Ovis aries: one gene and its partners. The protein of the gene in region 3 interacts with the protein of the main gene of each other region in a pairwise test. Links are inferred from orthologs where the notes say so. Each region holds a gene or a part of one and is shown on either strand. Other genes may lie near its edges. The genes, in order: RNF115, MAPK1IP1L, DAZAP2, keratin-associated protein 8-1, MAGED1, TOLLIP and HIP1.

Region 1 (3,500 bases), on a different chromosome or scaffold from region 3:
TCTACTAAATTACAAAGCTCTCTCTAACCCCATCCCTCATGCCCAAAACCAGTGTGACAGACCAAGAAAGAGACTAACCAAGAAAGAGACTCACCAAAGACTCATCTTCTTGATCACTCCAACCATGAAGGGCTGAGAAGACCACACCCATGGTGCCCCTCTTGTCACCCTTTTTGGTGGACCAACTGTGGTTACACGTTCCCATCATTTATTTTTAAGACTTTCACATTCCAACAACATTCTTAAGCTTCTTCATTTATTCAACTTTAAACACTTAAATGCACCAAAGAGCATGTACATGTACACGGGACACAGGCTGAAAAAAGAAGGCCTATCTCTCCGAGGCCAAGTTGTTTCCGCATGATCACAAAAATCAATATGACTCCAAGTATAACCAGAACCAAGCAAACATAAAGAGGTTTCAGAGATGAAAATGCACTTTAAAAATTAAAATGAAACAACATAAAGTCTCAATTCCTGAAGACCAATGAATTATTAAAAAAACATGAATCAGCTGCAGAAGCAGTAATAAAATAATCCTATTTCTGTGAGGGAACTTACTTTAAGGTCCCCAGGATAAACAGTGAGCTGAGAATCACTAAAAAACCTCAGAACCAGAGATTTCAAACATCTGTCTTTCTGTGCCTTTATCCTGCCCAACTTATTCCCAAATAGGAACCAGAATCAGATTCCTACCAACGTAAGACTCTTAAGACATGTCATTTGTCATGTTGGTTTCTGCAGAAGCTGCATCTTACCAAGTAGTCTTTAAAAATAAAAATGAGAAAACCAAAGAGTACAATCAGAAGCCTTCCCACTGTAACTTTGTTTTGATTTGCTCTCTAAAGATTTCAGAAAAAAAAAATCATTAGTCTCAGATTCCTGATTTAATATGACTTTACTCCATGGCTAACGTGGCCAAGAGTAAATGCTTGTGTACAATTAAAACAGAAGCACTTTATCAGCAGGGCTTTACGGCTGGTTCCACTGTATTTACTATAAAGTACACTAACGACGGTGGAGGTTGAAGAAAGAGGTGGAAACAACCGTCACAGGTAACATGACAGACAGCAAGACCCTAGGTAGACTTTAAGGAACCAATTCTATTCTGGCAGGGGAAACCCACATAATTAACCAATTCTATTCTGGCAGGGGAAACCCATATTAATTAAGTTTCACACTTACAAAATTATCACTCTGAATTCAGGAATAAGAGGCATTTGGTTCTAGATACAATTCCATCTGTAGACACTAACTTTAAATTTAGAGAAGAAAAACACTCAGTGAATTAATATTATGAGTTGGGGTTTCTTAAGTGATTCCTAAATCCACCTACTATTTTTTTTGCATTGATACAAATAATAGCTGTGATAGGAGGTCTACCATAGCCCTGGCTCAGACGTGGTCTTTAGTTTCAGAAAGTCCATCGGTCATGTAGCTGGCTGTCAATGTTAAATCTGTTGCTTGCAGAAGCCCCGGATCTCTGTGTTTGCTGAGTAGAGTCCTCACCATTTAAGCTCTTCCTACATACAGGACATGCGTCATGCTGAAACAAAGATATAAATCCACGTGAACAGCCTGACCCGAGAAGCTGGAAGAACTAAACATTTAAGAAACCCTGAGAGTTAGCAGGTAGATAAACAAAAAGGGCATGCCTTCTCACAGAGTACCTGCTGGGCTTCAAGTGTAACCCCAGGACATTTCCCAAACAGAACTTTTAACAGAACTGACAAAGAATTCAAGGCAGCAACATAACGATAGCTAACACATACTATCAAACAGAACTAACTAGAAACAATGACTGAGATGGACTTAAGCAGGGGTCAGCAAACTTGCTCTGTTAAAGAAAAACTAGTAACTATTTCAGACTCTGCAGGCCATACCACCAATGTTGCAACTACTTAACTCTGCTGAGGGAGCACAAAAGTAGCCATAGACCATCTGTAAACAAATGAGCATAGCTATGTTCCAATGAAACTTCATTTACAAAAATATGTGCCAGGCCACAGAAACCTATAGGCTGTAGTTTGCTAACCCCTGGTCAGAGAAGTTCTGAACAGATTAACAATCTAAAACACAGTAATGGTGCTACTAGGAGTTAGCCAGAAACTAAAATCTGATTTGTTTGGCTCTCCACTAACTGTTACTTATGCCCTTACTGATCCCCCCAAGACATGACTGGCACAGGGGCCCTATCACAGATGAGAGCTGTCTGTACTTACCAGTTCTAACCATGGCACAATACAACTGCTGTGAAAGTAGTGGTTGCAGGGTAACTGCCGGACTTCCTCCTCAACTGTGTAATCTTCTTTGCATACTGGACACTCTAAGCCCTTATCTGTTAGAGGAGGAAATGCCTTTTAAAATAAGCAAAAAGAAGGAAGAAAACCTAGCCTAATGTCTTTAATAATCAAAGGTATACAAAGAAAAAACAAAGTGCATCTAGGGTGGAGGCAGAGAAGAAGCAGAATTTTACTTCAAAATGGGGACAGAGGTGGTAATAGCCAGGGACATGAAAAGGACTGAAGAATGGGCCCATTCCAATAAGGTCCAGACAGCAACTCTATGAGGTCTATTTTTCAACATAAAGAGTTGGAAGAACTGGGGCTTAGATTATCTGTTAAGTAAAACAGGAAAAATATCTTCTCAAATGTGTTCTGGCAGTTTCTACTTAGGAAACACTGGCAATCTGTCCACCACAACCAAAGGACTCATCTCAACAATCTTGGCAGTTCTCATTCAGTGTGTCAAGCCACTTTCACTCTACTACTTTCGACATTACACATTCTATTGCATCGTGGTTACCCTAAAGCCCTTTTTACAGGTGTTTATTAAAAGCTGTACCAAGAGGCGCTGCGACAGAACTGCAAGGGTAACTCAGGCTCCAAGTCCAGAGACAGGAAACCTTCTTCTGAGACAAAATGGCTACAAACTGAACTAGGATTACCAAGCAGCAAATTCCAAGTTTGGCTAATAACACCAGCTAGTCTATCTCTCCAGCAGCTAGGGTATGTATGCTACATGCTCCACAGTATTCACAGCATTTGGAGTAAAATACCACTTAAAAGATTCCCTCCCTCCTCTCTACTCCCACAATGTTTGCCCTGATTTCAGCTTTTACTTCTCATGCCTAGTTTACTGCAATAGCCTCTTAGGTAACAACCCTGACTCCAGGCCTGCCAAATATATCCTATACTTTGCTACCAGTTAGTTTTCCCTAATACCAGCTCCACAGCAATTCCCAGCTCATCTTTTCTTGGATTCTCAGTTGGGATCCCCAAAAGCAACAGATTCAAAATTAAAAACATCACATCACCTCCTTATTCAAACCAGGGCCTGCTCACAATTCTTCCATCCCTGATGATGTCAGCACCACCTCTGTAGTTGCAGAGTTGCAAAACTTTAGAATCATCTTTCCCCCTTTCCCCTCCTTATCTTATGCAATCAATGATGAAAGCGTTTCTTCAAAAATTATCTGAGTCTACCCTTTCCTTTGTAGC
Region 2 (3,986 bases), on a different chromosome or scaffold from region 3:
GCCATTGCCTTCTCCAATATGCTGTCTAGGTTGGTCATAACTGCTTCCAAGAAGTAAGCGTCTTTTAATCTCAGGGCTGCAGTCACCATCTACAGTGATTTTGGAGCCAAAAAGAAAAAAACGAACGTCTGCCACTGTTTCCCCATCTATTTGCCATGAATTGATGGGACCAGATGCCATGATCTTAGTTTTCTGAACGTTGAGCTTTAGGACAAATTTTTCACTCTCCTCTCTCACTTTCCCCAGGCTTAGGTGTTCGAAGTTTCTCTATCGCTCATTTTTCAGTATGGGAATTACGTGTGCTGTGGAATAAACCCACATAAGTCTTCGTTTAAGAAGCTAATAGTAAAACGTCCACCCTCCAATCCACTAACAGCAAGTGAAAATAAAATCTAATAATACTGCATACGTTTTAATTTTTACACTAAAACATATGTACGTGTTATATATGTATATTTTGCACAACACGTAATTATGACATCTTCATTGTTAGCTAGCACATTCCCTGACCGCTGCGGTCAGACCCCTTTGGGGTCTGTCACAGAGTAGATAGGTAAAGGTTTATTCAAAACTAAACTACGGGGAGAAAAAAATATTGATCAGAAAAAACCTGCAAAGATATCCATTCCTTTTGTTAATATCAATTTGTCAAGCCATTTGCAAACGTCTTCACTTTTCTGCAGTGTTGCTTTACATAGAATATATAAAAGTCACTCAGTCGTGTCCGACCTTTTGCGACCCCATGGACTGTAGCCCACCAGGCTCCTCCCTCCAGGGGATTCTCCAAGCAAGAGTACTGGAGTGGGTTGCCATTTCCTTTAGCTCTCCACAATTTTGGCCAACGGATCTGTGCCCCGGGTTAGAAGGCATTCACATCTAGCCAGCTTCGAGGCCTAACTCTCAAATGCCGCAAGTGTAGGGAATCCAGAACTTGCTTTCAAGCCTCTCCAGGAGACAATTTCCTCCAGGCTGCCAGAGCGCAACTCGCCACTGGCGTTTCCTTTAGACACTCAGAACTCCGGGAAACTAGGGATCTTTCCTCCCGCCCACCGAGAGAAAAACAGCCGAGCAGCCGTGGACTGGCTGGCCGCAGTTCCACCGGGGCCCTGAGGAGGGCGCGCGCGGCCGGGCCCCGCCGACCAGTGGGGAGGCGGAGCCGGGTGGGGGCAGCGCGTCCGAGCACGGCGCTTCCTGTTCCGGCGCCAGGAGGAGCCGCGCGCTGCTGGTGCTGCTGCCGCCCCCGTCTCCGCTGCCGTCGGTCGGGCTACGCTCGGTTCTTCAGCGCCCAGTTCTCGCGGACCCATCGCCACTTCTAGATCTTGCTGCGAGTTCGAATCTTGCCGGGTGAGGCTGCCTCGGCGCTAGGGGGGTCATGGAGGAGAGCGAGGGAGCCCGCCCAAGCGGGACGCGGGGACAGTAACGGAGGTGCCTCAGACGCCTCTTCGCGGGGGCCGGGGGCTAAGAGTCTCTCCCCGTGGTTTTCCTCTCCGCTGTGGGCAATCAGCCCGCTAGGCCCCCAAGGAGAGGGCGTCGGGGGCGGGTGACGTCGTAGCGATGGATTTCTCGGCGGGTGACGTCAGGCCTGGCTCGGGGGGCGGGGCGGGGAGCGGGCCTGGCCCCTCCCCCACCCTTTCCCGGGCGGGCGCGACCCGCTCGGAGGCCGGTTCGCTCCGGTTAATCCCGGACTCCTTTTGTTCGCTGGGCTCTGAAGGGCTACCCGCCTAGCGCCCCTTGGCCCCGACTCCCTCCCCTACTCATTAATTGCTAAGGAAAGGGAGAGGAAGGCTGAAAGATTCTTGTAGGAGTCTTTGGCGCTAGTTTAAGATTATTCGCAATATGAGGTTTTGCTCATCTTTTTTTTTTTTTGTCATCATTTTCTAGAGGAGTTCCTAGCAGATACTCAGATGAATATCCATGACAAACTGAGAAGTGTTGAGTTCTGTAGTGCTCCCTTATTTTAGGATTTAGGAGCGCCTGGTGGCTTTGGACCGTTTTCTTCTGAAAACCAAGAGTAGCGCTTTTAATAAATGGGGATAGTAATGTTGAAGCATGGAAGCATACTCATCTGACAGAAGACGAAAAACATTTTTATAGGGTTGCTACTAAAGAAATACACGCTCGTACGCTTCATGGCTGTGAGTTTGTTTTGAAAACGAACCCTCCATTAAAGACGAAGTTACCCTTCAGAAATCTTTCAGAAGCTCTTTGTTCGGGAATAGTGGTCTTCGGGCAGGAGGAATAGACATTTTTCTCAATACGAGTGTCTCTGAACTTTCTATTCAAAGCTAGTTTGTTTCAGAAACTTGAGTTATGTGTACTGGAATGTCCCTTTTTCTCTCTCCACGAGGAATGGAGACCCAGAGACAGCCCCTTAACTGAAATCCTTGGGACCAGTGTGTTTTGGAATTCAGAAATCCTAAAATTTTATCTTTAGGTTTTAGAAAGACGATAAGGTACAAAGACGAGAGATCACACCAGCGGAGTCGGGGCAGCGTCCCCAATCCAGCATTAATATTTGTGCAGCGATGAAAAGTGAAGTCGCTCAGTCGTGTCCGACTCTTTGCGACCCCATGGACTGTAGCCTGCCAGGCTCCTCTGTCCATGGGATTTTCAGGCTGGAGTGAGTTGCCATTTCCTTCTCCAGGGGATTTTCCCGACCCAGGGATCGAACCCAGGTCTCCCACATTGTAAACAGACGCTTTACCGTCTGAGCCACCAGGGAAGTCCACCAAGTAAGTTTTATGTCAAACGGGAACACTTCTTTCATTTCTAGAAGTTTCTAAATTGAGAACTGCAGGTAAAAATTTACAAACCTATCATAGCAATTTGTAGAAACTGACACCTGTTGAGTTTTTGCTACGTGCCAGACGGTGACCAGGAGATTTATTGTGTAAGTCTCACGGCAAATCTGTGAGGTGGATACTACTGTCAGCTTTCACCTCTGGGGTTGGCACAGCTTGGCTTGTCCAGAGCCCACCAGTGAACTGCAGCATTACCTAGTTTTAAATACTTGTGGTGTGCACGCCTTTATTTTTCTAATGCTTTTTTAGTTGAAGGATAATTGCTTTACAGTATTGTGTTGGATTTTGCCATACATCAGCCTGTACTAGCCATAGGTATATACATATGTCCCCTCCTTCTTGAACTTCCCTCCGACCCCCCTCCCCAGGCTTGTAGCCATATGCAGTAGCCCGTACACCGAGGAAGAGAAGATGATATGTTTATTTATGTTCTCTAGGCACTTTTACTATAGGCACTTGATTTACCAGTCCCATTTAGTCCTGACCCATTTAGCCCTGACCTTAAGGACCCATTATTATAGTTGAAGTAACAGGTTCATTGAGGTGAGCTATCTCTGAGATGGTCAAACTTTGGTCTAGAGACTCTCTGGTTGAAGCTTTCATATTCCTCCCCTTTCTACATTGCAGCCAATCTGATCTGCTTATATGTCCCTGCCCCAGCTTTTGCACAAACTGCTCCTTTCCCTAGGGCCTACCCCAGGTCTTTTTGTTCTCCCACACTGCAAAGACAGGACTCCTCAGGATTCCTCCCTTGATAATCCTTTCCTTGATACCTTTAGGAGCTCTTCAGGGTGCTCCCATAGTGCCCTGCACTTACCGCAGGTAGCCTACTGTTTAAATGGTAGTTCTCCACCAGACTGAACTGCCATTAAGTGTTTATTCCACCTAAGACTATTCATTTCCCCAAGGCCCAATGCAGTACCAAGCACTTAGGTTCCAATAAATATGAGTGTAGAAAATAGGACTAACAGGACCTTGTTGAAAAGTTATTTTTTTAATTACATATTTTTAAGTAATTTAAAATGTTCAAAAACATGCAGATCCCAATTTCTTAAGTTGTCCAAATGTAAAACAGAGTGTTAGCTAATAAATGACAATACTAGAAACTATCACATAAAAATGCTCATTCAAAATTTATATTTTCAGTACAATATATTTCCAGTATTCTTTCCCCATACTAAACAA
Region 3 (4,208 bases):
TGTGATAGGCAGAGTAAAGGGATAAGAACAAAACAAAACCAAACCACTGATTTGGGAACCGGGGTGGGGGTGGGGACCAAGATAACACACCTGACTTTGTAACCTGTTCACTGTGTGACTTAGGGCAAATCTCTCATTTGAAAAACAGAAATGCTTAAACAAGCCCTGCCTGCCACACAGGGCTGTTGTGAAGATCTGTGATGACTCCATAAAATCATGCATATTAATGGTGTCCTGCAAACTGTAATTTGACACTGGAGAGAAAAACAGCGGACTGCTGATGAAGTGAGTACTGGTCTTTTCAGTGGTTTAAGTCATTCAACAGCAAATATGGATCAGGTTGCTAATGTTTACCGAGGGTTTTTCTTTTCAAAGCTTTCTTTTCAGATGCTTTTCTAATGTTCTTCCTACACTACAGAATGTAAACCATGAGAAAATAGCCTTGGGCTGTCTTGTTCAGCTCCATCTCTGTACCTGAACACAGCAAGCGTTCAGCAAATATCTTAAAGAATGGAAGCAATTGTTGCCTTAAAGGATGGCATCTTTGCTCTTAAGAACGATTAAGTTAGAAGAGAAGGGATACACAGAGAAAATACCTATCAGGTACCATACAGGTGTCTGTGACAGGTATCAAAGTAAGGGCCAGGGCATGGGTACTCCTTGGGTACCAAGAACATGCGTTTTAGTGCTAGCTGTTGCAGCGGGGTGGGGCGGGGCACAGCACAGCATACCCTTTCTGTCGGTGAGAAAGCGACACAGAAATAAAACACCGACAGCCTATCGGTAGAATAGAAAGGCAGTGAAGACTTGAGTGAGGGGAACGAGAGATAGATCAAGGGTTGCGAAGCATCTCAGGCAGTTAGGTAAGATTGTAGAAATCTATGTCCCGTGTGTGTGTGTGTGTGTGTGTGTGTGTGTGTGTGTAGGAATCTATGTCCCGTGTGTGTGTGTGTGTGTGTGTTAGTTTCCGGTTCGGTCCATGGGAAATGGCAACCCACTCCAGTATTCTTGCCTGGAGAATCTCATGGACAGAGTCGCACAGAGTCGGACTCGACCGATGAGACTTAGCAAGCATGCATGCCCCTTGTAGAAAGGCTGTCAAGGTGAGGTGACCTTGAGGTGCTGAACGTAGGTGGAAAAAGGTTCCAGAGAATAGTTTAATGTTACTGCCTCCGAGCGTTCAAGAGAGAGAAGATCCCGTTTTGAGACAATACCTGTATTTGGTTTTCCTTCAGCCGAGGGACAAGGGTAGGGGTTGGAGGACCAGACCCGGTGGGCGGGGCCTACGCGAGCGGACGGGATCACGCGGGCCCTCCCTCCTGCAACCGGCGGCCGGGCGAAGGGGCGGGGTTTCCGGTGGCAGCGGCACTCGGGCGTCGGGTGACGCTAGGCGGACAGATCGTCACGTGACACGGAAGTGACTACGAACAGGAAGAGGACGAAAAAAATAACCGTCCGCGACGCCGAGCCGAGCCGGACCCGCAGCCACCATGAACAGCAAAGGCAAGGATAGGGGGTGGCTGAGGCCGCCGGGGGGACTAGTGCTGGCCCGGAACGAGCGGGCCCGGAGCCCAGGGTCACCGAACGCCAGGCCTGGGGCGAGGTGCGCCGCGCTCCTGAGCCAGCTGCAGTGCCCGGGGCTGCGCCAGACACCTTCGTCATTCCCGAACTACGGCCGTTCGCTCCCTCACGGCCCTTTCTCCCTTAAACTCTGTGGCGCAGTTTGGAGCTGCGGACTCGGGTTGGGGGGGGGCTGTTGGGTGGGTGGGTTGGGGGGGTGGGGAGAAGGTTTGTCGTGATGGGCATCTGTAGGAGCAAATGGGGAGCTGGAGGCGAGATTTGGGTAGGCCAATGGAGAACTGGCAGAGGCGGGGCGCCGCGCTCCGGAACCACAGGCAGGCCTCCGGGCTTAACTAGTAAAGTGCCGCTCTGGTGGGCGGGCCAGTCGGGCCCGAAGGGGGTCTCTTCCCCCTTACCCTCGCTGGCGGCCAGAAAGTCTCCCGGTTTCTGTGTCAGAACATTCCCTTCAGCCCCCTCCACGATCTCAGCATTCACTTCCACCACTCACTCTTTTCATTTGGAAGTCGACCTTGAGTAGGAACCTGTGAGGTCGATGACCACAACCACCGTTACTCACGAGGTCTTGGTCAGTTACAACCAGACCTTTGGAGACCACGCAGGACAGGGAGACAGGACACACCGTTGAAATACCGGCTAGAGGGGATGCCCAGAACTGCCCTGCGTTCTGAGAGGATCTTGGGCCCAGCTAGACTTTCCCCTTACAGCAGTCGGCTACTGGATGTCCAGTTGGAATCCAGCTTCTTCAGCTTTAAGGGTGCAACGAGAATGCTTATTTTCTTGGCTCCAGGAATCAGGCCCTCTAGGGCAGTCTGTTTGGAAATCTCTTTTTGCTTATCCCAGCTAGATTAGCTACCCAATATGCCCTGCTTTGTTTTGGTGACTGTATGGTAGACAACATGCTTTTTTTCCCCCCTTGTCTTCCAGGTCAATATCCAACGCAGCCAACTTACCCTGTGCAGCCTCCTGGGAACCCTGTGTACCCTCAGACCTTGCATCTTCCTCAGGCTCCACCCTATACTGATGCTCCACCTGCCTACTCAGAGGTGCTTCCAGTTAACTTAATAATGGAATACTCTTGGATCATGTTTTCGGTCCTTGGCCAAGTCTGGCTCCACACATTTATTTACTTTCCACAAACAGAAGAGAGTGCTCACATGAATCATCTTAAAACGTGACATAGTTCAGCCATTTCTTTTGGGTTTGAGAAGGCATTATCTGATTGTTTTATGTTATTTGGCACTGGCTGAAGTTAAGAAGATGAGTTTGCATTCCCTGAGCCTAACATTAGCTATAGCAGGAAGTGATCCAGGAGAATATTGAGTGGCAGTGGAAAGGCAACTTGTGTAACTCAAAGAGTGTAATCTGCACAAGGAGAATTAAGACTTGACTCATTAAATTGAGATCTGAAATAGGAATGTCATGAAGTAACTTATTGCCTTCTCTTCTGCCTCTTCTAGCTCTATCGTCCGAGCTTTGTGCACCCGGGGGCTGCCACCGTCCCCACCATGTCAGCTGCATTTCCTGGCGCCTCACTGTATCTTCCCATGGCCCAGTCTGTGGCTGTTGGACCTTTAGGTTCCACAATCCCCATGGCTTATTATCCAGTTGGTCCCATCTATCCACCTGGTTCAACAGTGCTGGTGGAAGGAGGGTATGATACAGGGGCCAGATTTGGAGCTGGCGCTACTGCCGGAAACATTCCTGTGAGTATGACTTGGTCACAAAAAAGCTCGACCCTTGTGTATTTTAACTTTCTGAAATGACTGGTCATCCTTTCATCATCCCTGGGTAATAGTTGCTGGTATTGGTGTAATAATCACTGACGTCCAGTAGTCAGGCAGAAAGCACTCAAAGGGGCAGGAGAACCGTGGCCAGTCAGTAACATCTGGCGTACTCACTGATGTTAGAATTTATCAGATTCCTTTGTTTTCCTGTCTTAGGAGTCCTGCCTGCTGCTTTTCCAGTTCACTTTGATACTAGTTTAGTAACACTCCTCATTCATTCCATAAGCATTTATTTATATGTGCCATCAGCATGGCATCGTATTAGGAACCATGACGATTAAAAAAACAATGCATAATCCCTATTAAATTGCATTTAGAGAGATACTAGGGATTTTAGCAATGTCTCTTGATTAGTTCCCCTATGTATGGGAATTAGAGCCCATATGGTCCTTGCTAGGACCATCTACTCAATAACCATAGGCTAGGGATGAAGTGAAAATGCTGTCATCAGGTAGAGCCTTCAGATTATCCAGGGCCATTTGAAAACTGTCAGGCCCTGTGATATAAGTCCCTGGACCTGGTACCCGCTCCGTTTTGGGATGTGAATAGGAGTGATTTTCTGCACTGAAAATGCCAAGTCTGGACTTCCCACACTTAGAAGGTATCCATAGGCTTTATTTTGGATCCAGAACCCTTTAAATGAGTGGGTTTCCTGTTTATATCTTTGGCCTTACAAAGAATGTAGACCTGCTGGACTCAGATTGGTGGCCCAGATAGCTCTTTGAGATGCCGCTGGTTAGCACACTGCCATCTTCCTGATTGGTCCTTTTTCACCTTTGTCCACTTCCCTCCCATAGCTGCCCTCTGCCCAATCAACCTTGTCTTTTCCTTTCAGCCTCCTCC
Region 4 (2,310 bases), on a different chromosome or scaffold from region 3:
CTAGGTGGTTTGAGATGGGGGATCTATTCCTCCCTTAAAAGACTCTCAGATCCCTAAAATATGTCTATAGGTATTCTAGATTCTCCAGAATCCTTAAATAAGGGACATGGCATTTTATTTACAATCCTTGGTCCCCGAGAGGGAAAATAGTGGGTTTGATTTGTATTGATACAGGAATAATTGACAGAGTCCCTCAGTGTTGGGTTCCCTTGTGAGGAACAGGAGTAGCGAGATGCGGAGGGACACCAAGCAATGGATGGTGTAACACTGGCGCCAGAATCGGAGGAGGATGTCGCAGACTTAAAGGAAGGGTAAGATAGAATTTTTTAAAAAATCATAAGCAGACCCCTGTTGCCTGCTTCTCACACGAGAGCAGGATTATTTGCTTTCTCACTGCTTCTAACAACCACATGAGAAAACTAAATCCACTATCCACCTCACTGCCTGTTTCAAGAAATATGCGCACCAAGAAAGGAAACTCCACTCAAGTAAGAATATAATAGCGGTTGAGACAAGTTTATTGAGAATTTGACAGACACATCCACAACTTGATAATGACAAGAGTCATGAGCATGGTGAAAAATTCAAACGTAAAACGTGTTTGGGTGTCAAGTTTCTCAAAATGTCCCAACAAACATCATGCAGGGAAGGCAGCTGGAGGCAAGTGGTTTTTCATCTTCTTCCCTTGAGACTCTGGTGCCGATGTGAAAAGCAGCTAACTGGGAGGCTGATGAGTCTCTGAGGACCTGGAAGTCCGCCTCGTGGGTTTGGGGGAGAAGATTCCATGCCTCTGGTATTTCAGCAAATCAGTAGAGAGCAAATGGCCAGAATCTTCGGCAACCGAAGGCCCCAGAGCCGTTGTAGCCATAGCCGAAGCCATAGCCCACTGGGGAGTAGGTACTACCGTAGCCACAGCCCACACTGTAGCCCAGCGGGTAGCCATAGCTGCCCCAGTAGCAACCTGGGAAGACGGTGCTGGAGAAGCAGTAGCTCATGGTGTCTGGGTTGGGCGGCTTGGAGAGCAGGGAATGAATTTCCTCAGTATGATGGATTCCCTATGCTCCCTTCTTTATATACCCGGGCTAGGGGACGTGGCGAAAAACACAAGGCGTCATTTTCATTCTTGACACCAATTTGCTAATTAGTTTGTGTTGCTTGCTTAAGATGTCTTTACAGTTGCTTCAGAAAGCTCTCATGTGATAGAATAACAGGGGCTGGAGTCCTTCCTGTAAATTGTGTCCCTTCATTAAAATACGCTTTGCAGAGTCTTCAAAGCCCTGGGTCTTATAAAGTCCTAAGTACAAGCCTCTGGAAGCAGGCTTTACAGTACTACGAAAATTTCTGAGGTTGTTAACTGTTATCCAGTCATCTTGTGCACTGAATTTCCACAGCACACAGTTGGAATTCAATAAATATGTGTTGGAAAAAATTGAATGAAATAACATATACATACTGTGTGTGTGTGTGTGTGTGTGTATGTGTGTGTGTGTGTGTGTGTGTGTGCGCGTGCTCAGTTGCGTCCTCAGTTGCGTCCAACTCTTTGTGACCTGGTGAACTGTGGCCTGCCAGGCTCCTCTGTCCATAGAATTTTCCAGGCAGGAATACTAGGATGGGTTGTTTTCTATTCCAGTGGATCTTCCCAACCCAGGCATCCAACCTTCAACCTTCGTCTCTTGAATCTCCTGCATTGGAAGGCGAATTCTTTACTACTGTGCTACCTGGAAAGCCAATACATAGTGAAATCACCTCGAGACTGAGATATTCTTTGTGTTTGTCTGATTAAACAATTTATTTTGGCTTTATCCAAGACAAATACCAAAGAGTTCATTGGAAAGACTCTTTTTTCCTCTATTTATAGCTACCGTGTTTACAAAACTGAATAAAATTTCAATTTTAATTATAATACCCACCTGAACTATATTTAACATCACATTTTTAAACCACTACCTGAACTAATAATCTTGTAAGTGTAAAAAAAAATGAAGCTTGTGGATTTATCCTAGAAATTAATTGTCAAATAACATGTTGGTCGAATATACTTTTTAAAATAAATGTTGAAAATAACAACAGAGTAAAAACAGAATAATGAATGGGAACTTTTACCTTAAAATGTGCATGATTTTTTCATTAGATCTAATAAAACCAGATTATGTAACAAATATGATGATCTTGTAAAGAGCCAGATGACAATATTAAATCTAAGTTATATCACTTTAAGGGTGATAATGCACCAGAATTGGGGAAAAAAATCTTCTCTCTAAATGGAAACTTAGTTCTCAAATATGAATTAAAGGAGGAATAAGACTGATC
Region 5 (4,173 bases), on a different chromosome or scaffold from region 3:
ATCACTGCTTCTTTCACACTATACTTCAAATCCACTATCTTTCTTCCTTTCCATTCATCCATTCCATCATGTATTCAACATTAAACAAGTCTTCACTGAGTACCCTCTAGTATATAAGGAGTATTTTAGATTTTAATTATTCACCAGTCGATGGAGTAGCCATAGTTTCAACACTGTCTTCTCTTCATCTATTATTATTGTCACATTATAGTGCTACTAGTTCTTTATGTGTTCATTTCCCTCACTGATTGGAGGGTCTTGAAATCCAGGATTCTATCTTAATCTTCTTCATATGGACAATATCAGAAACAGAACCTTACACCAAGTGGTTGTTCAAAATCTGTTGGTTGAATGACAAAACATGAGTTAAATGCTGAAATGAACTATACAAATACTAGCAAAAGTAAAGACCTTGTGCTAGCCTTTGTCATTGCCCTGACCACATTTTGGTCACTTATTCATTCCACAAGCATCTATAATCACCTATTTTATGCTAGACTCTTACGTGTTTAAATGTTGCCTTAGCCCCTAGGCTGTGGCTTCTAGTGCCATGTCTCTGGGTCTAACGCAGTATTTGGTACACTTGCAAACTGGCTGAAAATAACCACAAAAGAGAAGAACTGGGGTACAGATTTTGGCCCTAGAGGAGTTTTCTGGAGGTAACAGCAATAGGTAACTCAATATTGAACTTTTAACCAAAGTAAGGCTTATTTTTATTATTGAAACTTTTTGTCAATTATCATTGTCTTCATTTGGGTGGGAGGGGTATAAAAGTACACAAGAATGCTTTCTAAATGAGTTCACTTTCTTTTGCAAATTTTAAGTATGGAATGTTACTCTCTGGATACCATTCCAAGACGGAAATGATTCAGATTTAAGACTTTTTAAAGATCTTGAAATTTTTTTAAATTTAAATTTATTTATTTTAATTGGAGGCTAATTACATCTTGAAATTTTTATACTAGTAATTAAAATGAACTTATTTTTTTAATTCCAGAAAGCAGTTAATCAGTATGATAAATATGTAGCTGTAGACATCCGAGAGTTAAGGAAGTAACAGTACTTGAACGTCTGAATCAGCAAGGCGAGGTGACAAATAGGATACACAGAGTTTGGCAGAGATGCTACAGTTCCTTGGATGACTAGGGCTAGTAGGATTTGTAAAAAGTTACTGATTCCTTCTTCCAGAGATCCTACGTCACTATCCAGGTGCGCATCTGGTGAGAGAGCCATTGAGATACAATATTTCAAAAGCTTGCTAGAAAGGCACAGGAAGTTGTCTGGAGTGAAGGCGGAGGTGGGGTGGGGAGTGATGGGGGCGGGGGTGAGGGTGTGGCGTCCTGGGCAAAAGCTTCCGCCAAACAAAAGAAATTAGCACTTCCGGTCACGCCTTCATCTTGTCGCGGCGTTCTTCACCAAGGTGAGTGTAAAGAAAGGGACTGATAATTTTCACAAGTGAGTCCCCAAACACTTCAGGAACGCTTTCCTCTTTGTTTCGCCACGAGGTGGAAAGAATTCATTTCCAGGGTACATTGAAGGATGTTTCTGACGCTTGTGGTTCTGATCTCTGTCTTCACTCTCTCACTCCTCAGGAGATGGCTGGCCGTCATCCCCTCCTTCTGACTCTTATGGTCCTTTTATCCCTGATTATTCTTCACTTCACCTCTTAATCTCGAATCCTCTTCCCGGTCTTTATGAACTTGGGTCATTCCCTGTACCATCGATTTCTTTCCTACCTCTTACTCCCACCTTCCACCCCGCCCTCTTCTTAGCTTCAGAACTTTTGCTACCCTCTTCCCCGACTCTGGCTTCTCTGATGGCTCAGACGGTAAAGTGTCTACCTGCAATGCGGAAGACCTAGGTTCTATCCCTGGGTCGGGAAGATCCTCTGGAGAAGGAAATGGCAACCCACTCCAGTACTCTTGCCTGGAATATCCCATGGACGGAGGAGCCTGGTAAGCTACAGTCCATGGGGTCGCAAAGAGTCGGAAACGGCCGAGAGACTTCTCTTTCTTTCCCCTAGTCTGAGCCTACATTCTTCCCTTTTTTTCCCCTTTAGACCCCAGTATTTTACTCCCCTGAAGACTTCTGATTCTCTTTGGTCCTGCTTCTGCGGAGGACAGTGAATTATTTATTAATACTTTATAAAATTAGGTGTGACTTCAATTTCAAGGGCAAGGCTGTTTTTGTTGTTTTTAAAAATCAGCAATGGAGCAGAAAATTTTTAGAGCTCTCAGAGACGTAGGAACTTGTTCAGATTATGTACTTGTATTTATTTATTACCCTAAACGAAATCCCATATCAGATATTGCACTGGTTTCAGCCTATGACATAAAAAAATTTTGGTATACAACTGAATCTCCAAATTTTGAGTGACAAATGTAGTGAGTTTTGCTTATAACTTGGTGTCAGCTTTAGAAGAGGGAAGCTTTCCCATCTTTAGAATTTCTCACGGGGCAGAAATGGTTGACAGAGATGACATCCAATCACAAATTTATTAATTCATGTGAGTTGGGTTTATTATGTAAATCTTTTCCTGTTGTTCAGTAGCAACATTGAAGAGCAAGTTGACAGATTTTTCAGACAAAGATTTTTTTTTTTTTTAGGAGCTATGCATGTATTATCTATTTGGTGTAATATGAATTTTGTCTTTTTCATTTGTTGCAATGTGAATTTACGTCTTTGCACCATTTATCATGTCTAAACTGTCTTGCAAGACTGTTCATTAATTATCACAATTTTTTATTTCAATTCCAAGAGAGAGAAAAGTAAATTTATAATGAGGGTGAGGGGTATTTCAGGTTATAAAGCGGAATTTAGCAGTCTCCTTGAACAAGCAACTTATTCCCTCTTCTGTAAGGTGTTAGACTTGCCAAAATAAGGGATGATTAAGTATAGTTGAGAGACAATGAGTGAATATAAAATAAATATATAATAGGTTGTGATAGAGATGGTTGTACTATGTTAGATAGGAAAGGCAGAAAGGCCTCCTTGGTATTGTGACATTTGAGCAGAAATCTAAAGGAAAAGAGGGCACAGACTATACATATATGAGTGGGAAGCCAGGATATATTTATGACAGTGGCTTTGCATTTGTTGGTCATTTTGCTTCCAACATTCGCTCTTCTTCCCTCTGCCTGTGGTCACTAGCCAATGGCAACCCATTCCAGTATCCTTACCTGGAAAATCTCATGGACAGAAGAGCCTGGTGGGCTGCAGTCCATGGGGTTGCAAAGAGTCGGCACGACTGGGTGACTAACACTTACTGCCTACTCGAATGATCTAATCTGTCCATGTAAGTTCCCCATATTGTCTTTCTCCTGGCTAGCTTGTTGCTACCATTTAGGTGAACTGTCAGTTACCAGCCCCTCTGGGAAGACACGTCTGCCTCTATCCTGACCTCTTCCTCAGTGTGTTAATTTGTGGTGCATTGTATGCTGTCCTACAGCGTATTTGCTTTCCTCTCTCACTGCTCTTTTCACTGCGTGTTCATAATGTTGCCCATAAATGTTGGTGTGGTAAATTGAAATGAATTTAGTGCCTGTCTTTATAAACAACCTTTTTAATGTAGTTGGCTCCCTAATTAATGTTCAGAACCACTGTTTAAAGTCAGTATCATCGTTGTCATTTTCCTGATGACAAAACCTAGACTCAGGTGGGTAGTAACTTGCTAAATGGTAGTGGAGTTAATGGAGTTAAAATCTGTCAGATACTCAGTCCTGGCCTGATCGTCTCTTTCTCTCTCTCTGTCTCTGTTTATTAATGAGAAGTAGAAAATACTCAATATTTTATTAGACATAGTCTGGATATAAAAATTTCATTTTGTAAGCTTTCTTTCACAAGTCTAATTATATCAGGTACTTGATTTACTTCCTAGTTATAAATGTTAAGAGCTGAAAAGTGTGATGACTTTTTACTTGAAATTTTTTCCCATTTTCAAACTTTTTATTCTTTTTTTTTCCTTTTAAATTTTTAATTGGGGTATGAATACGTAAGGGTACAGCTGAAAGCATTGTCACCACTGTGTAACCTACCACATGATCCAGCAGTTCCACTCATGGTATATATCTGGAAAAAGTGAAAACACTAATTTGAAAAGGTGTGTGCACTCCAGTGTTCTTAGCAGCACTATTTACAATGGCCAGGATATGGAAACGACCCAAGTGTCCATCA
Region 6 (4,041 bases), on a different chromosome or scaffold from region 3:
GGCAGCTCCCTGAGACTAAAAGTCTCTCATGCTTTGCTTTTTCACTTCGCCCTTTCTTGGTAAACAGGACATTTGCTGAAATCTCTGCAGTGTTCTTCCCGAGAACACCCGCTGTTTCTTGCCGGGACCCTGACTGATACTATAATTGCCACCGGAAGTGACCCCAGGAAACAGGCTCTAAATGGGATTCTGGCCTTGAGGTGCACGTCTATCTGATGAGTGTGTGGATAAAGTCCTTGCCCAGGGAAATCGAGTACCAGGAGCCCGTGTCATCCAGGGACAAGGGACATCCCAGTTCCTAAAATGGTCACCAGCGGCGGCATGGGGCGCCGTGCCAGTGGGTAGCCAGCCGCTTGGGCAAATGCGGGACTGCAAAGGCTGCGCAGTGGGCTGGCTACTTCTGAAGGTTCTGGGAGGCACACAGCAGGGCAAGGACGGCTCAAGCCTCGGGTGTGAAAGTGCCCTCCAGGCAGGCCACCGGGAACGCCTGCACCTCGACGAACCAGACACCCTGGGGACGCACAGGGGGACCCCGTGTAGGATGGGGGCTCTTATAGGTGATTCCGGGTAAGGTTTAAGGACGCGGGGTCTCGCTGTGGGTTGGGTGCCATCTGGAAGCTCCTTAATACTTCCCATCCGGGAGAGGCGACTGGCGGGCGGCGGAGGCTGTGGCGCGAGGGGGACGCGGCGCTCCAGCTCGGGCGCGAGAGGGTGGCCACTGGCGGGGGAATCCGCGCGGCGGCCTGGAGCGGCCAGCGGCTGTCTCGCGCCACCGCCGCCTGGGAGCCGCCGGTGTCGGGAGCAGAACGCCAGGCCCGGGGGAGCCGCCTCGGATGGAAAAGCGCAGGGCTGCGTGGAGACCCCAGCGGCCGCCCGGCCAGCAGCGTCGGGCACACCGAGCCGAGGGGCCGGCGGGCGGCAGGGGAATCGCGCGGCCTCACCGCCGGAACACTCGGAAGGCCGCGGCCGCACCGGGTCACGCCGGCCGCTCGCGGGGCGCGGCCGGGCCACGAGCCCGCGCGGCAGCCGCGGCGGCTCGCGTCACCGCCCGCCCCGGCCGGCCGCGCCCGGCTGCCCGCCGCGCCCCAGCGCGCAAGCGCACAGCGCCGGCCCGGGAGCCATTTCACGCGGCCGCGGCGCGGCGGGCGCGACTGCGCAGGCGCCCGGCGGGAGCGCGCGCGCCTGCGCGAGAAGCCGGAAGCGGCGGCGCGCTCTGCGCCTGCGTCCGGGCCGGGGGGGGCGGGGCCGCCGTCAGCTGACTGAGGCGGCTGCGGCCTCGCGGGACCGCCGTCGGCTCGCGTCTCTGGCGGCTGTCGGGGGGCTACGCGCGGGCCCGGCCGGACCATGGCGACCACCGTCAGCACGCAGCGCGGGCCGGTAGGCTCCGGCGGGGGCGGGCTCCGCGGCCTTCGGGCACAGGCCGACGCCGGGCTCCGTGCGAGCGGAAGGGAGTCCCCGGCAGGGAGAGGCCGCGCACCGTGCGGGCCCCCGGGAGGACGAGGCCTCACGCTCACCGGGCGCCCGAGGCGGGGGGTGGTCGGCGCCGGTTGGTTCCCGGGGAGGAGGCGGGTCGGCGCCGGTTGGTTCCCCGGGGCCGGGGAGGGTCGGCGCCCGTTGCGTCCCCGGGATGGGCGATGGTCGGCGCCCGTTGGTTCCCCGGGGCCGGGGAGGGTCGGCGCCCGTTGCGTCCCCGGGATGGGCGATGGTCGGCGCCCGTTGGTTCCCCGGGGCCGGGGAGGGTCGGCGCCCGTTGGTTCCCCGGGATGGGCGATGGTCGGCGCCCGTTGGTTCCCCGGGATGGGCGATGGTCGGCGCCCGTTGCGTCCCGGGGAGGAGGAGGGTCGGCGCCGGTTGGTTCCCCGGGATGGGGGAGGGTCGGCGCCCGTTGGTTCCCCGGGGCCGGGGAGGGTCGGCGCCCGTTGGTTCCCCGGGATGGGCGATGGTCGGCGCCGGTTGGTTCCCCGGGATGGGCGATGGTCGGCGCCCGTTGGTTCCCCGGGATGGGCGATGGTCGGCGCCCGTTGGTTCCCCGGGATGGGCGATGGTCGGCGCCCGTTGCGTCCCCGGGAGGAGGAGGGTCGGCGCCGGTTGGTTCCCCGGGATGGGGGAGGGTCGGCGCCCGTTGCGTCCCCGGGTGGAGGGGGCCCCGCCCCCACCGGCGGGCCCCGGGGTCGGGCGGGGTCGGCACCCGCTGGGTCCCCGGGAGGAGGCAACACCCTGTGCCTAGAGTGTCCGTCTGTAGAGGAGCCACCCGGCCAGGCTTGGATGAAGGAGGGTCCAGGCCCAGCTGTGTCCCTCGGTTCCTTTGGTAACACATGAGGGGTCCTGAGCTGGGAGTCCTCTTCTGCCCCTGGCCCTGGAGTCCTGTCTCCTGCGCGGCTGCTGTGTCCTTGTCCAAGAGCAAGGCTTCGGCTCCTGGGGAGTCACCTCTAGCCCCCGTTCAGACTGGGTTGGGGTGCCTGACCATGAGCGGTGAGGGTTTGTTTGCTTTAATCACAGTCAGAGCCTTCAGCTGGGACAAGGTTCTGGTTGATGGTTTGATGTGGCTTCACCAGGGAAGTCCCCGCAGCCCTGGCTCTTCACTCTCCCGCCAGGATGGACAGATCTTGTCTGTGTCTCTGCCAGCGGGAGACGAATCTATCCACACGGCGTCTTTCTGAGTTTGAGGAAGGCAGGTCTTGTTGGAAGCCCTTTGGGCACAGGTGTTCTTTCTGACCGTTTGAATGGGACGTGACAGGGCTTCGTGACAGACATGCATGTGGAAAGGTCCCGGAGTTCGTAGGGTGGATTCTGGCCCCTGGCTTCCCGTCTCCGTCTTCACTGCACACAGTGGCTTGGAGCAGGCTGAGCGTCAGCACTTCCTCCGTTCTATAGGGGCAGCAGGGACGGGTGTTGGTTCTGTCCTGGGTCAGACCTGCTGGGAGCTCTGTGCCTTCGCCAGGCGGGATCCGCAGGCAGACATGCGCAGGCCTGGGACCCAGGCAAGGGGAGCGCGTGGTGAAGGCGGGCCTCCTCTAGTCCAGAGGGATGTTGGCCCTGCGCTGAGGTAGGGCTGTGACAGGGCCCAGGCGGCAGGGGGTGTCTGGATGTGAGGCCTGTGCTGTTGAGCTCCCAGTGACCCGGACGACTGGCACGTTCTCTTGTCGGGGACTTGGGCCCCACGCGTGGACTGGCAGGGGTGTGGGGGTGCTCCTCAGGGGCCGAGCTCATGCCCTGAGGTTCGGTCAGGGCCAGAGCAGCTGGGGGCTCCGGCCCTCGGGCGCACTGGCCTCGGTGCGGGCGCTCTCGGCGTCTTGGGTAGCACGGCTCACTGATGCCGCCGTCAGGCTCACAGAGGAGCCAGGCCTGGGCCTGAAGGTCTGGCCTGGAATCGTGGTGAGCAGTAGCCTCCCTGGGCCAGGGCGTGGGGTGAGCAGGGCTGTGGAGGAAGCACGGCTGACCGAGACTTAAGGGAAGGGGAGCGTGGAAAGCAGAGCTGGAGAGGGTGGGGAGAGCCACTGCTTCGAGGCTGGGAGCTCCTGCTGGGGTGCCTGTGCTGGGGGGCGGGGGGTCACTCGAGTGGGCTTTCTGTGTTTTCTAGAGCTTTTGCCTGGTACCTACCCTCTCGTTCTACGTCTCCCCACCAGCCTATCCCCCGTGGGTGAACGACACTTGTAGAGGCTTCCTCTCCAGTTATCGGCGTTGGGGAGCCCTTCCTTTTGCGGTTACTAGAGTCTGGTGGAGACCGCTTCCCTTGCCAGGATGCATGGACTTGGCGGGGGCTGTCCTGTGCGTGCCTGGTGCAGTGGAGGCCCGCGGATGCGCTGGGTCCCGGCTGGGTGGCACGCCCAAGGGCCAGCCTCTGCGGGGGGTCCCAGCCTGGCTCACACAGGACAGGCAGCACTCAGCCTCAGCCCAGGGTCACTGACCAGGGGACCTGGGCTGACTCTGAAGTCTGATTGTCTCCTCCGGCGCCTGGTGAAGGACGGATGGGCAGGGTCCCCAGGCACATGAAGGCAGAAGTGGGCCTGCCCACTTGGGGAGATTCCCTCTGTCCCTGAA
Region 7 (4,196 bases), on a different chromosome or scaffold from region 3:
ATGCCTCCAGGTATATTATTTAATCTAGTCTCCCATAATCAACCTGTGAGGTAAGTAGTATCCTTATTTTGCAATAAGGAACCCAAGGCTAAGAAAAGCTGGAAAACTTGCCTGGGACCACAGCCCCTCCATGTGCCTGGCTATCAAATTTCAGCCTCTTCCAGTTCCCATACCAGTGCTCGGCCCAGTACTCAGAAGCCACACAGAGCTGTGGTTAAAGGTTGGGATCACAACATGCTGTCTGACCTTGGGCAAGTTACTTAACTTCTCTGTGCCTCAATTTCCTCCAGATAAAATGTGGTTGATACTCACCTCATAGGTCCTTGTCAATATCACCTCACAGTACTTTACTGAAATTAAAGAAGGTGATACAATAAAGTACTCAGAAAAGTGCCAAACATAATTAGTTACAATCATCCGCCCACCTTCACTGATTCCATGGTCTCTTAACTCATTAAATTTTTTTTATAACTCATGTTCATATGGCTCAGACTGTAAAGAATCTGCCTGCAATGAGGGAGACCAGGGTTCGATCCCTGGGTTGGGAAGATCTCCTGGAGAAGTGAATGGCTGCCCATTCCAGTATTCTTGCCTGGAGAATTCTGTGGACAGAGGAGCCTGGCAGGCTGCAGTCCATGGGGTAGCAAAGATTCAGACACGACTGAGTGACTAACACACACATACATTGGGTAAGTAGTCATTAAACAATACACATTTTTGCAGATTGACTAAGGTGAGGTTTTTAGAATTGTTCTCTTTCCTTTTCTTCACTCTCTTATTGCCCTAATAGTTTCAACAACACAGAAACTCTTTTCCTGATTCATTCTACCTCCCTTACACACACACACACACACACACACACACACACACACACACACACACACGCCACTAGCTCAAATCTGGCCAATTATCAGTGCCCCACAGAATGTAAGATACTGCCTAACACTGACCTAGACTCTCCTTGTTGGGACGTCCCTGGATAGCTAGAGAAACTTTCACAAACCTAATTTCCATCACTATAATGGGTCAAACTCTTATGTGTATTTCTCTATTGCTCCAGTTTTTACTGGAGACTCTAAAAGGAATGAATTACCATTTATTTTCCTTGTCCATTACAAGAAAGATTTACACTGTTTCCTGGAGCAAGAAGCCTTGTGTGCCCAGGCAGCTAGACGAGGGCATAATGCCCATAGCAGACAAGCATCTTCCTTCCTTTCTGGGGTCCAATCCACAGAATTAGAAAATAAAGCTTAAACCCAGCCAGACCCTGGGAGAGAGAAGTAAAGAGCCTTCTCTCCCATCCCGTGTGGGGTAGAATGATGACCTAGGGAGGGGACACTGCCTACTTTACACCACCTGGACACACCTGTGAAGGGCCAGAGGTGCCTGGAAAAAGAAGAGGAATTAGTCTCCTGGGTTTTCATGAAAAGTTTCCTTCTTTGCAAGATTCCCTACATGGAACACTCGATCAGGACCTCACAATCTTTATCTAAAACCCCACTGCCCTTCCTTCACATGGTACTAAGTTTGGGGAGGGCGGTGGGGAGCAGAACAGAACGGGAGAACCAGCTTCTGGCAGCGGAAGCCCCCTGGCTCTTCAAAGGTTTCACTCCGAGAGCAAGAGTGAGCGCGAGTGAGGAACAAACTTGCCCATACAACTTCAGCAGTGGGATTAAAAGAAGTGCTGTGCCCTTCGAAATGGATTTTGCATACAAACCAGCCGATGAACACCATAAACATGTCAGCTTTATTCAGTCCAATCAATACACCAGGCATTAAAACTCTGAGGTAAAAATGGATTGTGGCTTTTTGTTGATGACAGTGAGGAATTTTGGCCCCTAGCCCTGCTCAGGCTGGACAATTTAGGGCAGGCTGCCTATTAGCTGTCAGGCACATTTAGGGGGATGAAATCAAAACCCCGATTCAGGGTTCTGGGCACCCCAGAACAACCCAACTTGACCCGAATCGGGGCCACTGGTCCAGGACCCTCAATATCTGTCCTTGGGCCGGCCCCCTCCTCCAGCCCCCGGTCATCTTCCAAACTCGGCCACACACCGCATTTCCTACATTCCTTCCTCCGGGCTCAGACCCCTTCAGTCCGGTCCTCCGAGGCCGACAGCTGGGGGCTGGCGTGAGCCAAGCTAGAGGCACAAGGAAGGGGATGCTAGGGACGGGGGGAATGTCAACGCAGTCCTGAAGTGATCGAGCGGAGAGTACAGGGCGCCCCAGCCCTCACATTCCCGACTCAGCGCCCCACTCTCTGCAGCCACACTTGCGACCCCCAGCGCCACCCCCCCCCCGCCAGGGACCTTCCCCAGCTAGGGGCACCCCTTCCATTCGGCCCCCTTTTCGCGTTCCTTCCCCTCTCACCGCCCCCGTGACCCCTGCCCTGCCCCGCCGGGACCGGCTCCAGTCGGTCGCACCGCGCGGACCGTGCCAGCTGCTCAGAGCCGCCCTGCCCTCTCCCCCAGGCCAGCCGGGATGGCCCCGGGGTCCCCGACCTTCCCAGACCGCCTTGACCACCGCACCAGATGCCCCCTTGCTCAGTCCTTCCCTGGGCCTGCAAGATCCCTACTCCCTTCGAGTCCCCTCCAGGACACTGCGGGATGCCCCAGCCGTGCACGACCGGGGGTGTCCCCCACCCCGCCCCGGTCCTCACCTGAGTCCGCTCAAAGCTCTCCCGCTCCGCAGCCTCCATCCCCGCGCCAACCCCACGCCGGCTCAGCACCTTCGGCAGGGGGTTGGGGACCTGCTTCATGGAGCTGGCCATCCGGTCCATGTCGCCGCGCGGAGCCGAGTCAGGGGCCCTCAGCCGCCCCGGGATCCCCACGGCGCCGCCCGCCCCTCCCTATCCACTGGGATCCGGCGCTAACGGGAAGGCGCCCGCCTCCCATTGGCTGAGAGCGCTGCTACTCTGCCGAGGCCCCGCCCCAGCCCAGAGGCTTCCCCGTCCGCCCCCGCCCTCTCCAGAGCCCCCGCCCCGGCCCTACCCTGCAGGGCGCTCCGGACCGTCAGGCGCGCCGGGACGGGCCCGGAGGCCTGTCGGTCACCGGCCTCCACCGCCCCTGGCGGGGGCGGGCCTGACCTGCCCTAGCCCGCCCCTTCCCCGACGCCCAGAGCGCGGCTCTCCCAGCCGCTGGCTGCACCCGCGAGCTCCCAGCGAGCCGCACTCTCCCAGTCCCCCCACCCCACCCCGGGCGCCGCGAGGTCCCGGCTTGGTTGGTGGGCGGGGGTCAAGCTGGCGGTGAGTTGGGCCTGCCGCAGGGAATCCGGGCCCGCGTGGGACTGGCCTGTTAACTCTTTTCGGGCCGGAGACAAGAGCGCGCGCGATGGACCAGCTCGGCGGCCCCTGTCCCAGGATGCGCTTGCCCTGAGGCCGGGCCTCCGCAGGTTGGTTCAGCGGGTCGCAGACCTGGCCGGCGTGGGTAGCGGCTCCCACCGCCTTCTCCCTCGTCCTGCCCCTGCCCCGAATCCCTGCCCATCCCTTTTGTAATGTTCGCAGACCAGGGAGCGCTGGGCTGGGTCAGTGGAAACTTCTCGACACCTTTACAAACCTCTCACCCTCTGGATCTGGTCAGGATGTATTCGTTGGTAGAAACCCATGTGGACATTTTAATATTTATCCCCGGCTCTGGGACACCCCTCCCATCCTGCTCCGTCGTCAGCCAAGGTACTGACGACAGGCGTAGGGGGGATGGAAGGGGGTGGAAGTAAGATCCTTAGCCGAGATGCTGAAGAAAGTTAAAAGTTTTCTGTTCAAATGCCAATTTTGATGTTTTAAAAATAAATGCTTTTTGCAACTCAAAGTAAAGAAAGGCGTTACTTTTTTTTTTTTTTTTTTGACTAAGAGCTTTTGATAAAAATTCACACATTCAATAGAGAAGCAGAAGAGGGGGTGGGCCTATGTAGGCACTGGGGAGCCTCTGACGGCTTTGCCAGCTGGCATCGTGTGGATGGGATTCTGGGGGCGACGGGAAGGAAGGGAACCAATGGGGAGACTCCGGCAGTAGGTGAGAGCCCACGAGGGCCTCCACTAGCAAGCCAGGAGAGAGTTCAATCCTGTGGGAGGTTCTGTGAATCAGTCAGTTCAGTCGCTCAGTCGGGTGGGACTCTTTGAAACTCCATGGACTGCAGCAGGCAAGGCGTCCCTGTCTGTCACCAACTCCCAGAGCTTAGTCAAACTCAGGTCCATCGAG

Evidence for each region.
Region 1: the proteins of DAZAP2 (region 3) and RNF115 interact in binary tests that used the Homo sapiens proteins (3 or more experiments, as listed by UniProt). The two-hybrid records come from large-scale screens. The link is inferred for Ovis aries from reciprocal best matches to the Homo sapiens genes DAZAP2 and RNF115.
Region 2: the proteins of DAZAP2 (region 3) and MAPK1IP1L interact in binary tests that used the Homo sapiens proteins (3 or more experiments, as listed by UniProt). The link is inferred for Ovis aries from reciprocal best matches to the Homo sapiens genes DAZAP2 and MAPK1IP1L.
Region 4: the proteins of DAZAP2 (region 3) and keratin-associated protein 8-1 interact in binary tests that used the Homo sapiens proteins (3 or more experiments, as listed by UniProt). The two-hybrid records come from large-scale screens. The link is inferred for Ovis aries from reciprocal best matches to the Homo sapiens genes DAZAP2 and KRTAP8-1.
Region 5: the proteins of DAZAP2 (region 3) and MAGED1 interact in binary tests that used the Homo sapiens proteins (3 or more experiments, as listed by UniProt). The two-hybrid records come from large-scale screens. The link is inferred for Ovis aries from reciprocal best matches to the Homo sapiens genes DAZAP2 and MAGED1.
Region 6: the proteins of DAZAP2 (region 3) and TOLLIP interact in binary tests that used the Homo sapiens proteins (3 or more experiments, as listed by UniProt). The two-hybrid records come from large-scale screens. The link is inferred for Ovis aries from reciprocal best matches to the Homo sapiens genes DAZAP2 and TOLLIP.
Region 7: the proteins of DAZAP2 (region 3) and HIP1 interact in binary tests that used the Homo sapiens proteins (3 or more experiments, as listed by UniProt). The two-hybrid records come from large-scale screens. The link is inferred for Ovis aries from reciprocal best matches to the Homo sapiens genes DAZAP2 and HIP1.

What each region holds. Positions count from the first base shown.
Region 1 is NC_056054.1:99,098,361-99,101,860, forward strand, and holds part of RNF115 (E3 ubiquitin-protein ligase RNF115), read right to left. Parts: intron 2,339-3,500; coding exon 2,223-2,338; intron 1,547-2,222; coding exon 1,415-1,546; 3' UTR 1-1,414. UniProt on the Homo sapiens protein: E3 ubiquitin-protein ligase that catalyzes the 'Lys-48'- and/or 'Lys-63'-linked polyubiquitination of various substrates and thereby plays a role in a number of signaling pathways including autophagy, innate immunity, cell proliferation and cell death.
Region 2 is NC_056060.1:65,599,142-65,603,127, forward strand, and holds the start of MAPK1IP1L (MAPK-interacting and spindle-stabilizing protein-like), read left to right. Parts: upstream 1-1,186; 5' UTR 1,187-1,344; intron 1,345-2,644; 5' UTR 2,645-2,732; intron 2,733-3,986.
Region 3 is NC_056056.1:134,989,234-134,993,441, reverse strand, and holds the start of DAZAP2 (DAZ-associated protein 2), read left to right. Parts: upstream 1-1,408; 5' UTR 1,409-1,490; coding exon 1,491-1,503; intron 1,504-2,505; coding exon 2,506-2,624; intron 2,625-3,038; coding exon 3,039-3,284; intron 3,285-4,200; coding exon 4,201-4,208. UniProt on the Homo sapiens protein: In unstressed cells, promotes SIAH1-mediated polyubiquitination and degradation of the serine/threonine-protein kinase HIPK2, probably by acting as a loading factor that potentiates complex formation between HIPK2 and ubiquitin ligase SIAH1.
Region 4 is NC_056054.1:125,440,375-125,442,684, reverse strand, and holds keratin-associated protein 8-1, read right to left. Parts: upstream 1,040-2,310; 5' UTR 996-1,039; coding exon 807-995; 3' UTR 501-806; downstream 1-500. UniProt on the Homo sapiens protein: In the hair cortex, hair keratin intermediate filaments are embedded in an interfilamentous matrix, consisting of hair keratin-associated proteins (KRTAP), which are essential for the formation of a rigid and resistant hair shaft through their extensive disulfide bond cross-linking with abundant cysteine residues of hair keratins.
Region 5 is NC_056080.1:53,694,871-53,699,043, reverse strand, and holds the start of MAGED1 (melanoma-associated antigen D1), read left to right. Parts: upstream 1-1,373; 5' UTR 1,374-1,420; exon of another isoform or gene 1,421-1,527; intron 1,528-1,776; exon of another isoform or gene 1,777-1,900; coding exon of another isoform or gene 1,901-1,955; intron 1,956-4,173. UniProt on the Homo sapiens protein: Involved in the apoptotic response after nerve growth factor (NGF) binding in neuronal cells. Inhibits cell cycle progression, and facilitates NGFR-mediated apoptosis. May act as a regulator of the function of DLX family members.
Region 6 is NC_056074.1:46,562,165-46,566,205, forward strand, and holds the start of TOLLIP (toll-interacting protein), read left to right. Parts: upstream 1-1,241; 5' UTR 1,242-1,344; coding exon 1,345-1,377; intron 1,378-4,041. UniProt on the Homo sapiens protein: Component of the signaling pathway of IL-1 and Toll-like receptors. Inhibits cell activation by microbial products. Recruits IRAK1 to the IL-1 receptor complex. Inhibits IRAK1 phosphorylation and kinase activity.
Region 7 is NC_056077.1:34,461,034-34,465,229, forward strand, and holds the start of HIP1 (huntingtin-interacting protein 1), read right to left. Parts: upstream 2,801-4,196; 5' UTR 2,780-2,800; coding exon 2,660-2,779; intron 2,085-2,659; exon of another isoform or gene 1-2,084. UniProt on the Homo sapiens protein: Plays a role in clathrin-mediated endocytosis and trafficking. Involved in regulating AMPA receptor trafficking in the central nervous system in an NMDA-dependent manner. Regulates presynaptic nerve terminal activity.